Arabidopsis thaliana: one gene and its partner. The protein of the gene in region 2 interacts with the protein of the main gene of each other region in a biochemical or structural test. Each region holds a gene or a part of one and is shown on either strand. Other genes may lie near its edges.

Evidence for each region. Proteins that work in one complex are often made in the same cells at the same time.
Region 1: the proteins of ATG8D (region 2) and NBR1 form a complex in vitro, tested with the Arabidopsis thaliana proteins (one study listed by BioGRID).

The regions. Positions count from the first base shown.
Region 1 is NC_003075.7:12,739,299-12,745,185, reverse strand, and holds NBR1 (ubiquitin-associated (UBA)/TS-N domain-containing protein / octicosapeptide/Phox/Bemp1 (PB1) domain-containing protein), read right to left. Parts: upstream 4,155-5,887; 5' UTR 3,996-4,154; coding exon 3,963-3,995; intron 3,605-3,962; coding exon 2,715-3,604; intron 2,626-2,714; coding exon 2,502-2,625; intron 2,399-2,501; coding exon 2,141-2,398; intron 1,964-2,140; coding exon 1,814-1,963; intron 1,722-1,813; coding exon 1,164-1,721; intron 1,086-1,163; coding exon 984-1,085; 3' UTR 516-983; downstream 1-515. Other genes in the region: AT4G24700 (uncharacterized protein), read left to right, coding at 1-379; MOS1 (modifier of snc1), read right to left, coding at 5,449-5,887. UniProt on the Arabidopsis thaliana protein: Autophagic substrate degraded in the vacuole by non-selective autophagy. Requires ATG8 protein expression to be recognized as an autophagic substrate. Acts probably as a receptor for autophagosomal degradation of ubiquitinated proteins.
Region 2 is NC_003071.7:2,082,462-2,086,644, forward strand, and holds ATG8D (Ubiquitin-like superfamily protein), read right to left. Parts: upstream 2,422-4,183; 5' UTR 2,315-2,421; coding exon 2,278-2,314; intron 1,945-2,277; coding exon 1,838-1,944; intron 1,755-1,837; coding exon 1,730-1,754; intron 1,476-1,729; coding exon 1,420-1,475; intron 1,348-1,419; coding exon 1,295-1,347; intron 1,070-1,294; coding exon 951-1,069; intron 848-950; coding exon 750-847; 3' UTR 525-749; downstream 1-524. UniProt on the Arabidopsis thaliana protein: Ubiquitin-like modifier involved in autophagosomes formation. May mediate the delivery of the autophagosomes to the vacuole via the microtubule cytoskeleton.

The DNA of each region.
Region 1 (5,887 bases), on a different chromosome or scaffold from region 2:
GAAGAAGAGACTAGAGTTGATGAAGGCAGCTGCGCAGGCTTGGCTCAGCCACTCCCAAACCTCAAAACATACTGTTTTAGAGTTCGATGCGCAGAGAAAGCATGCTTTTGTCAAAGGGAAGGCATCACGTTTCAAAACGGAAGCCTTGTCCGCAAAGCATCATCCGTCGTTTTTGGATTGGGAATTCGGACAGTCGCTGTGGGATCCCTACGAGATTCTTTCGGTCTCTAAGAAACTGGAACGCGAACTCACTTTAGAAGAACAAACCTTCTCTTCTTCAGATAATGATGGCCTCAAGAAGATGAAGAAGAAGAAAACTAGAGACAGCAGAAACAGCCTTAGGAGTTTGTTCACTCGTTCGTCTTCAAAGAGATTCTAACAAACTCATCATGTTACTACTTCAAACTTGTAAATTTTTCTCAAAAAGTGAAATCAATTATGAATGTCTTTTATTGGTCTATTCAAAAACTTTTATTGGTTTTTGAATGGTTTCTATGGATAGAATAACAAAGTTTTGTCAGTTGTAAACAGTTTAATGAAGCCGACCACCATGACTAATTGCAACTGCCATGCCGATGATTCGACCACGTGAAAATGTCACCTGATTGAGAGAGATGAGAGGGTAAATGTGAATTAAAACAGTACGTTGTTTCAAGGAAAGCTCTTCTCACAAACTCACATTAAGCCAAATACAGCTGAGAAATGGAGACCAAAAAGGCCTAAAGTGATGAAATCAATAAAAAAGACTCAACCATTCATTTGACCCGAGGAGCAGAACGACATAAACTAAACTGAAATAAGAAAGAAACCATCCATGTCTTAGATAGAGTTAACATAGTAACATCATCCCAACACAAAGCAAAGGAACAGACCATGTGACGCAGCACGAAACCAAACTAAGAGATCAGGTTTTATTTATAAAACATAATTATTCCTGATAGATAAGAGAGATAGAGAAGAGTTGCCAGAAACCAAAGAGCTCATCAAGCCTCCTTCTCCCCTGTGAGGAGATCCATTACCACGCCTTTGATGCTTCCATTGTTCTTCTTCAGCAGTCTCTTGTTCGTCACATCATCACAGAAGCCCTGCAAAATCACAATATTTTCAACATTCCAATCTGCAAAGTAAGATTTAATAAATTCACCAAGTGCAGACACACTTACCATCTCCTGAAGCTCCTCTAGGATTGGATCCCACTCGCTAACTCCACAAAGAGCATCAACAGACTGCTCCAGGTTGTACTCGTTATCCCTCAAGATCTCCTTGTTCAAATCTATCTCCTTGAAACCCATTTCCTCGAGCTCCTTGAGCATGGTTATCTCCACGTCATTCTTTTCTATATCCTCCTGAAGAGGAACTGGCACGTCTTTTGTAGTAGATGAAGAACCACCAGACAAGACCTCAACAGCAGGCATGCTTGGGAAGTCGACCATGTTAAATGAAGAAGATGAAGATGAAGGAGAATGACCGTGAGGGATAGCAGGATGAGCTTCACCAACCAAAAGGTTTTCTTTTTCCACGGCCTGTGTTTCACCAACTTCGCCCTCTAGATCAGTACCTTTCACGGTCCCAGGATTGACACTGGAGCTGCCAGGTTGAGCTGACTCATAATTCATAATCCCTAGAAATTCGCTTGGAAAATTCTCATCAAGGGAGGGGGAGGCATTAAGGTTCAGTCCATGAAACTCATTCACAACAGAATTCTTCAGAGATGCATCAACCTAACCATGCAAAAAGAAAAAATGTATCAAACACATATGATAGAAAGAGACAAAGAATTAAAGGACAGAAGCTGCACAAATCTAGTAAGTACATGTATCAACACCCAAACACGTTGCCCAAACTTAGCACCGTCAGAGGTAGCCATCCTCCAATAAGAAATGTATCGACCAGGTAACTCTGGTGCAACAAAATCAACTTTGACGTCAAGTTCACTATAGATAGGCACACCCTCCTTTGGAATCTGCCATGTGTAAAGAGAGAAAAAAACAGTTAGTATTATATAATCAAGCAGCTATAGTCACTTCGTGAAGAAAACAACCTAACTCAAGCCATCGAGTGTAAATTCAAACAACATAATTGCTCTGTTAGTGGTAAGAATCGAGCTAAAAGAGTGAAAACTAAGGAAATTGTTTCTAACCTGTAAATCAACTGACAAGGAGTTGCAGAACCTGTCCCCACCGATCCAGACAATCTGTGTGCCCTGTGGCCACACCAGCGAACCACTGTTCCTCATTTTCCAAATCTTAGTAAATGGGGCGGATGGAGCAACAACGGTTCCATCAATTACATTCACATCAAGGACAAACCGACTGTCTAGTTTAGGGCGAGTACACCTGAGAGGTGCACCTCCATTGGTTGCTCGTGGCACAGGGTGGCTCAACCAAGGATTAGGAAACTATACCAAAAAAAAAAGGGTAAGAATTCCTCATAGCTATCAGAGAAGACACATAGAATAAACAAGAAGAAAAGTAATTATAAACTTAGAAGAAGAGCAATACTTGGGTAAACGGTCCTCTAAAAGGATGCAGATGTTGAACGGATACAGGCTTATCCATTCTTGTGTAATCCCCCTCGTTACCCATCACCGAATAGCAGATGGTGCACAGATCATAGTCTTCTTTACTGCACAATATTCACAAGCGAAACATATAAGCACAATAAGTTCTAGCATGTTTATAGTTTCTAAAGTAGTAAGTAGAAGGCATCCTTACACTTTCGACTTAAATCTAGGCCCAGTAATTGGAAGAACTCCACATCCGTCACAACGGATGCCCTTATGGAATACACCCAATGAAGTCCAGTAATCACCATTGGTGCTCTTTTTGGAATGACAAACACGACGAGGATGCTTGTTGAGGTTAACTGGATTTGGACAGGAGTAATTCATGGTACTGCCACTAAAGGGACACTCGTTGAAATTAGCACCCAGTCCAGACGAGTTTGGTACATGACCAGAAGTCTTTGAATGAGCGCCAGTGGGTTCATTCAGATTAACAGGTTTCCTTCCGGTCTGGGTCCTCTCAGAGATATCCTTCTTTCCACCAGCGGAAGGAACATCCCTGCTCAGGGAAGCACCTGAAGAACCAGGCTTGGTAACAGGTGAGCAAGGACTACTTTCCTGAGGAATTGAGAGCTGCCCTAGCTTGGAAATGCAATCAAGCATCTCACCAACTACAGGACTAGAAGTTGAGGCCTTGGATGCAAGGTCCATGTACACCTTTGATATGGTATCACGCATCGGGTTAGGTACAGCCATCAGAACATCATTTATACCCTTCTGGATTTTGGAAACCGGGTTAGGCATACCCGCAGGTGTGGAACTCCCACTACTCTCTGGAGCAGCAGAGTTAGTGGACACGCCAGCGTTCACATTGATCTTTAAGAACTTAAGACGCTGATTAGTAACATCAAAGAGATCGTTGTCATCAACAAGGGCAACCACATCCCCATCCTCATCAGAGTAAGTCAGACTCAATTCAGCATCCGCAGAGAGGTTAAAGAGAGCAGCGATCTTTTCCTTAAGACCAGCCATTTCAAGATCAAGCTGTCCATTAGCTTTAACAGGCACCCTGAAACGCCTAAGCACACCTCCATAGCTCACCTACATAATCACAAACAAAATTAGTATCACTTCAATGAAAAAAATGAAAAAAAATTGTCGAAGAAATAGATTACGATTCTAATTACGATAACTTATAGTTTTAATCATTGTTCGGGTATAAGATTCAAGCAGATACTGCTAAGTATGTCTGGAAAATTTTCGAATTACACTTAAGATTATAATACAGAGACAGAGAGAGAGAGAGTCGATCCATAGCGAAATTCAAAAGGAAAGGACCGATTACAAGCAACAAAATCAACAGAAACGAGACGATCGCCACGAAAACCCAGAATCACCGACAATTACTGTGAGAAAACTGACGATTCGCAAATAAAGAAAGGAAGGTTGTATCTCTAACCTTGACGACGAGTGCGTTAGCAGTAGACTCCATCGGTAACGGAGATCAGATCAGCTGGAGAGAATTAAAAGGCAAGCGAGAAGAAACCCTAATTGAAGAAAAAGAGTATCTAGCGAGAAAAAGAGAGAATCGGGGAGAGATTTATCTTAGAAGAAGCGTACCCGTAATCCGCTTTTCTCGTAAACAACCAAGAATTTAGACGGTCGCGTTTTATACTATATATCATTACACAGAATATTTATTAAAATAATTAATTTAATGGGCCCTTTTGTTTATTTAATTAATTTCTGACTTAGCCAACAAGATTTTGACTTTTTTGGTTACTACTGGCTTATCCAGAAAGACAAATCAAACTAACATCCCTAAGTTAAAGCCAAAAATATCAAGAGATACGAGTACATATAACTAGATATTTTATTTTTCATACTAACATTTTGAAAATTGACCAATTCGAGTTCTTATAAAATACTACATCTTTTATGTTTTCTCCAATAAAATGATCAGATACTATTTTATTTTATTAAAACTTCAACTCTTATGCCGACCACAAAAAATAAAAAAACATTTTAAACTCTAATTTATGAAGTTTGAGAAACAAACACCACCAATTCCAAAATCCAAACTCTTAAAACTCTTATGTTTGCTACCTAACCTCATATAAATTTAGTAAATTTAATTAGATATTTTCTTATTATTACGTTTTGTGAATATAATTTATCATATGAACTTTTTCTGTACATTTTGGTGCGTTCTAATAACTTAGTAACATTGATATACAATTTTATAATATAATAGTCATTTGAGACATTCGACATTCGACATACAAAAAAAAAAATATGAGATTCTATATGGCTATATGCAAGTGAAAAGAATTAAAGTGTGACTTGAATTACTAGCATATCATGATGTGATTGTGTAGTTGATGACAAGAGAATATATGGAATAAATAATTGTTTGTACAATTAATTTAGACAAGTTTCAAAACGCATACATTGTATCAATATATCATATATTGTTTTTATATGTGATCATGACAATAAAATATTAGAATAATAGATATAAATATATATATTATACTAGAATTGATATTTCGAGTTATAGATAAATCTAATCATAAAATAAAAAAATTATATTAAATAGATAGGAATTTATCAAAATGAACATCAAAATCAACCAAAAAACATAATCATATTTTTTTAAGCAACTTTAAAAACAAAAATACTCATGAGTATTCATCTAGTGTATACAAAAGGCTACTACAGTAGTTATAATCATATTCAAACAAGTGACTGAAACATATAATAATAAACTCTCAAGACAAAGACTTTTTTTTTTTAATCTGCCAATACCTCCTCGGATAGGTCTCCTCTCAGCAATCTCCCAAGCTATGTGCCTACGAATTAGCTTCCTCAATCGCCATATCTCAAAATGCAAGTATCCTCAGCATGGCAGCTCTTACTACCTAAATAACAATAAGAGGCCAATCTTAGTTTCTATCACCAGTGAATCCATGACCACCGTTTCTCCCACTAGTACCCCTTTGCTGTTGGTATCCACCCTGCCTTTGCTGCCCCTGTCCCTTCTCTCTGTATCTTGGACCTTCTGTCTGAGAACTCTCTTTCGATTGTTCTCGACTACGTTCTCCATCATAAGTATGAGACCCAACAGGTTTGTATTCATAATGCAGATTTTGCTTCTGTCTATCTCTGTTTGAAGGTGGCCTCTGATGGTGATGGTGCATATTCTCTTGCGCCGGTAAACCCCAACCTCCTTGTGACTCCTGCCCTCTTCCAAACCGTCGACCCTGCCCTGTGTTCTTTTGGAACATACTATTCGGATTTTGCTCAACCTGGACCTCCTTATTGGTAGATCGGTTTTGCAACTGGGCTTGTGTATCAGCTGATGTCGTTTTTTGTTCTGTAGTA
Region 2 (4,183 bases):
ACCATAGTGAAAACCACATGCAGATAGAGAGAATTGACTAAATAGCCATGGATGAGGATCAAAAGGAAACGGAGAAGAAGCTAAAAAGATTAGATCTAATGTTTTTATCTTTATATTTATAGTATCTATTAACCGAGAAAACTGATCGGTTATGTCTGCCGAACCGAGAACCGAACTTCAATTATAATTTCGCCGATCGGTTTAGCCTTCCCTTCATAGTCGGTTATCAGAACCAAAAAAACGGTTTGTTCAGTTCGGTCATTGGGTTAATCCGAAATCCCAGGCCTAGTTTTTGCTGGATTGTACAGTAATAATCTGTAACAGATGATAATCTATTCTAGAGTGTGCACAAATTTACCTAAATCAAGTTGCTTTTGAAATCTAAATATTTATAGCTAAAGTTATCTCTGTTTTGTGTTCCTTAGAAGCAGAGATTGCAAGAGCTTAGAGATTTGACGGTCGAGCTAACTTTGAGAAGATAGAAATCGTAACGGTTCAACGACTAGTGAAATAGGCCGGGCCAATATTCAAGGAGGACACCAAGTGACCTCAACTATATATAGCGACTAAGTTTGAAATTAAGTGTAGCATAAAGCCAAATTAACACCATGAACGGAAGACCTTATCATGTTAATAACATAGCATGCAAGTTTCAAAAGCTTCGTCCAATGTCATGAAAACTAGAGACAAGCAGAGAAATAGACAGACTGTACATTGATAATCTGATGCATCCACATATTCCAAGCGCATTAGAAGAAGATCCCGAACGTGTTCTCACCACTGTAACTCATGTATAGAAACCCGTCTTCGTCTTTGTGCTCTTCATAAATTGCAGACATTATTGCCGCTGCAATAAAAGGATAACACTACTACTATTAGCTCAACTGAGAAAAAGATATGATTCCTTGAACTGGAAAAGTATATGATTAAGGAACGTGTTTGAAACTAACCAGTTGGTGGTAGAATGTTCTTGACAAAAATGAAGATGGCTTTCTCGGGACTGAGCTTGATCCGCTTCCGTACAACATAAACAAACTGGCCAACAGTCAAATCAGCTGGGACCAAGTACCTAAAGTTTTGAATAGTAAGTCAGCCAATTCATTATCCCTAAGCAACAAACCATGAAAACCAGAAATTCCTCCAGATCTTTCAATAAAAAAAAATTATTTCTATCCAATTAACCAATTCATTACTAAATGTGAGGGAGTGTAGGGTTCTCAGAAAAGGGCTTGAAGCCACTTTCAGTGAGAAGAAAGAGATTATATCCAACTCCTCAAGAGAAGTAAGGACTTACTTTTTCCTATCAATATCCGGGACATCACTCTTCTCGGCTCTTTCGACAATGACCTGCAACAATTTCAGAGAGAATAAGGCAAAAGCTATGCAATTTTCTTAAATGAAAATAGCCAAAATTCATACTGGTATTCTGTCTGGATACTTCTCCCTGATACGTGCTGCTTCAGCTTGTCTCTTTTCTGTAACATTCAAGAGCAAAAAAAACACAGATCCATCAATTTTCAACACATCAACATCCTCTAACCCACGTAAAACAACACAGACTCAGCGATAATATCTTAGGATTCCACTTGAACAGAGACTATAATGTACTTTGCTTCCTCAGCAAAAGTAGAACAAAATCAAAACATGTTTCAATCAAAGATTATGTACACTACTACTCCAGGCTCCAGGGACTAAAATAGTGATTCTAAGCCTCGTGAACAACACATACTCAGTGATAATATCTTAGGATTCCACTTGAACAGAGACTATAATGTATTTTGCTTCCTCAGCAAAAGCAGCACCAAATCAGAACATGTTTCAATCAAAGATTATGTACAGGGACTGAAATAGCGATTCTACGCCCCGTGAACAACAGAGACTCGACCACGGAACACAAGAGAGACAAGTGAAACTTAGTAACTTCAACATCAATATTCATCTCCACTTGAATAAAGATCATAATGTATTTGCATCAATAAACACAAAACTTGTTTCAATCAAAGATTATGCATACTACTTCACGAAACAATACAGAATCGGCGATAAAATCATTCAACATATAATTTTGCGGATTCTTATAACTGTTAACGCAATCAAAATTGAAATCGTTGGAAATCAGAATCAAGGATCAATTCATGCAAACTCAGAAGCAATTGAAATAGACGTAACCAGATTTTGAGAATTTTTAAACCTAGTCGCTAAAAAAATCCCTACGATGAGAGAGAGATACACAAAGATCAACAAGATTGATCGATTAGGTTTAAATCGAAAACGAACCAAGAGGATGTTCATGCTTGAAGGAGCTAATCGCCATGATTTTTCGCTGCGAGAGAGAAACAGAGAAGAGAGAAGCAAGGGTTTGTGTTCAACGTCGAAATTGGGTAACTCCAAAGAATGGAGATAGTTATTTGGAATGTTTATAAAAAGGGTACGCTTGGCAACAGATCTTTATATATTTAATTACTTAAAACTTAAGAGTTAAGAGTTAAGAAGTATTGAAATATTGGATGTATTAGGCCTGAATGGATATTTTCGATTCAGTTTTTGAGTTTAGATTTTAGTCTATAGATTTTAGATTTTTGTTATTATATTTTTGTTTTAAAAACCCCTAAAAAATTGGTTTTTGGTTTTTGAAAAAATAACGTTGATTGAGTAAAAACTAGATTTTCTAAACTTTAGAAAAACTAAAAAACTTAAATATGAATGGAAAACTACAATAAAATAGTTTTACTAAATTGTAGGGAAACCAAAATTTTAAAATCTTGATTGGTATTAAAATAAGTTTTTAAAAAACAAAAATCAAAAACTCTTACAAAATCTAAAAAACATTCAAGGTCTTAGTTTTTTTTTTTGGGTTTTGTGTAAAAAAATCTATCTATTTAACACTCTCTGTTTTTTGAAAAAAATAAGTTTTTAAAAGATTAATTTTTAGATTTTTTATGAAATATTTATTAGTTATTATTAATTAATTATAAACTTTGATAAAAATAATTGAATATTATTGATTTAAAGTTATAAAAAATTGTAAAATACAAAAAATAATACATTTAACAATTTTAATATGTTTAACTTAATATGTGTGTTTTTCCTAACCAATCAAATAAAAAAGAACAGATGAAGTCATTTTTTATAAGATAAACTATTATGTCAAATAAATGTAGGTTTGATATAGACGATAACTCTATTAAAAACATAAAGATTTAGTGTAAAAAATTTCTATGTAAACTTTTTTTGTAAAAAAAAATCTTCATATCAAATAAATGAATGTCAACACTACAATCTTAAAAATCACTCATAATATTATCTTTTTGTGTAGTGATGACATGACAACCAATAACTACATTAGAAAACATACAATAAAACAAGAGTATTTATAATAAATGACTATAGATTTGAAAAGAATGTACAAACTAACCTTGAATCACAGTATCTTGTCGGAAACATGTTGGAAAACACGTGTAATTACGTAAATGTCCTTTGTAACATGTTATTTTTCCGAAATACATGCGATAACATAATATCCTCTTTTTATCTTGTTATTTTCTCTTATTACATAGTATTTATTAAAAAGCACCTGGTATTTTTTGGAAAAAACATTCTATTCAGTTTAATATCTCTTTTTATCATGATATTTTGTAGTAATACACGTTTTTTATTAAGATCACACGTGATTTCTTTAAAAATATATTCCTATTTTTTAGTAATACATGGTTTTTATTAAAATCACATATAATTTTTTTTTTTTAAGATTCTGTTCACGTAAAAGAATTTCATAAGAATATTTTTTCTTAAAAATTCATAACGTTTTTTGAAATAGCATGTTTTTAAACTAAATATAACATGTGAAATTTTAATGTTACATGCTATTTTGAAAAATTACACGGATGTATTTCGTTTACTGTTCATCTTACAACAAATGAAGGGTAGATTTGTTATTTCCTTTCTTCCGACAACGTGGGATCCATGGTTATTTTGTAACAAAAAACTTTCTCTCTGCTAGTTTCTTAATTTGTATGTTTTATTTGGTTATCTACTAATATTACCCATAAAACAATATACACCAAAATTATTGAATTTTTATTTATCTGAAAATTTGGAGATTCATATTTATTTTTCATTGGGATCTTCAAAACTGTAAATGAATCACTTAAAATCAAACCAAGATTTTTGATCATGTGGAACA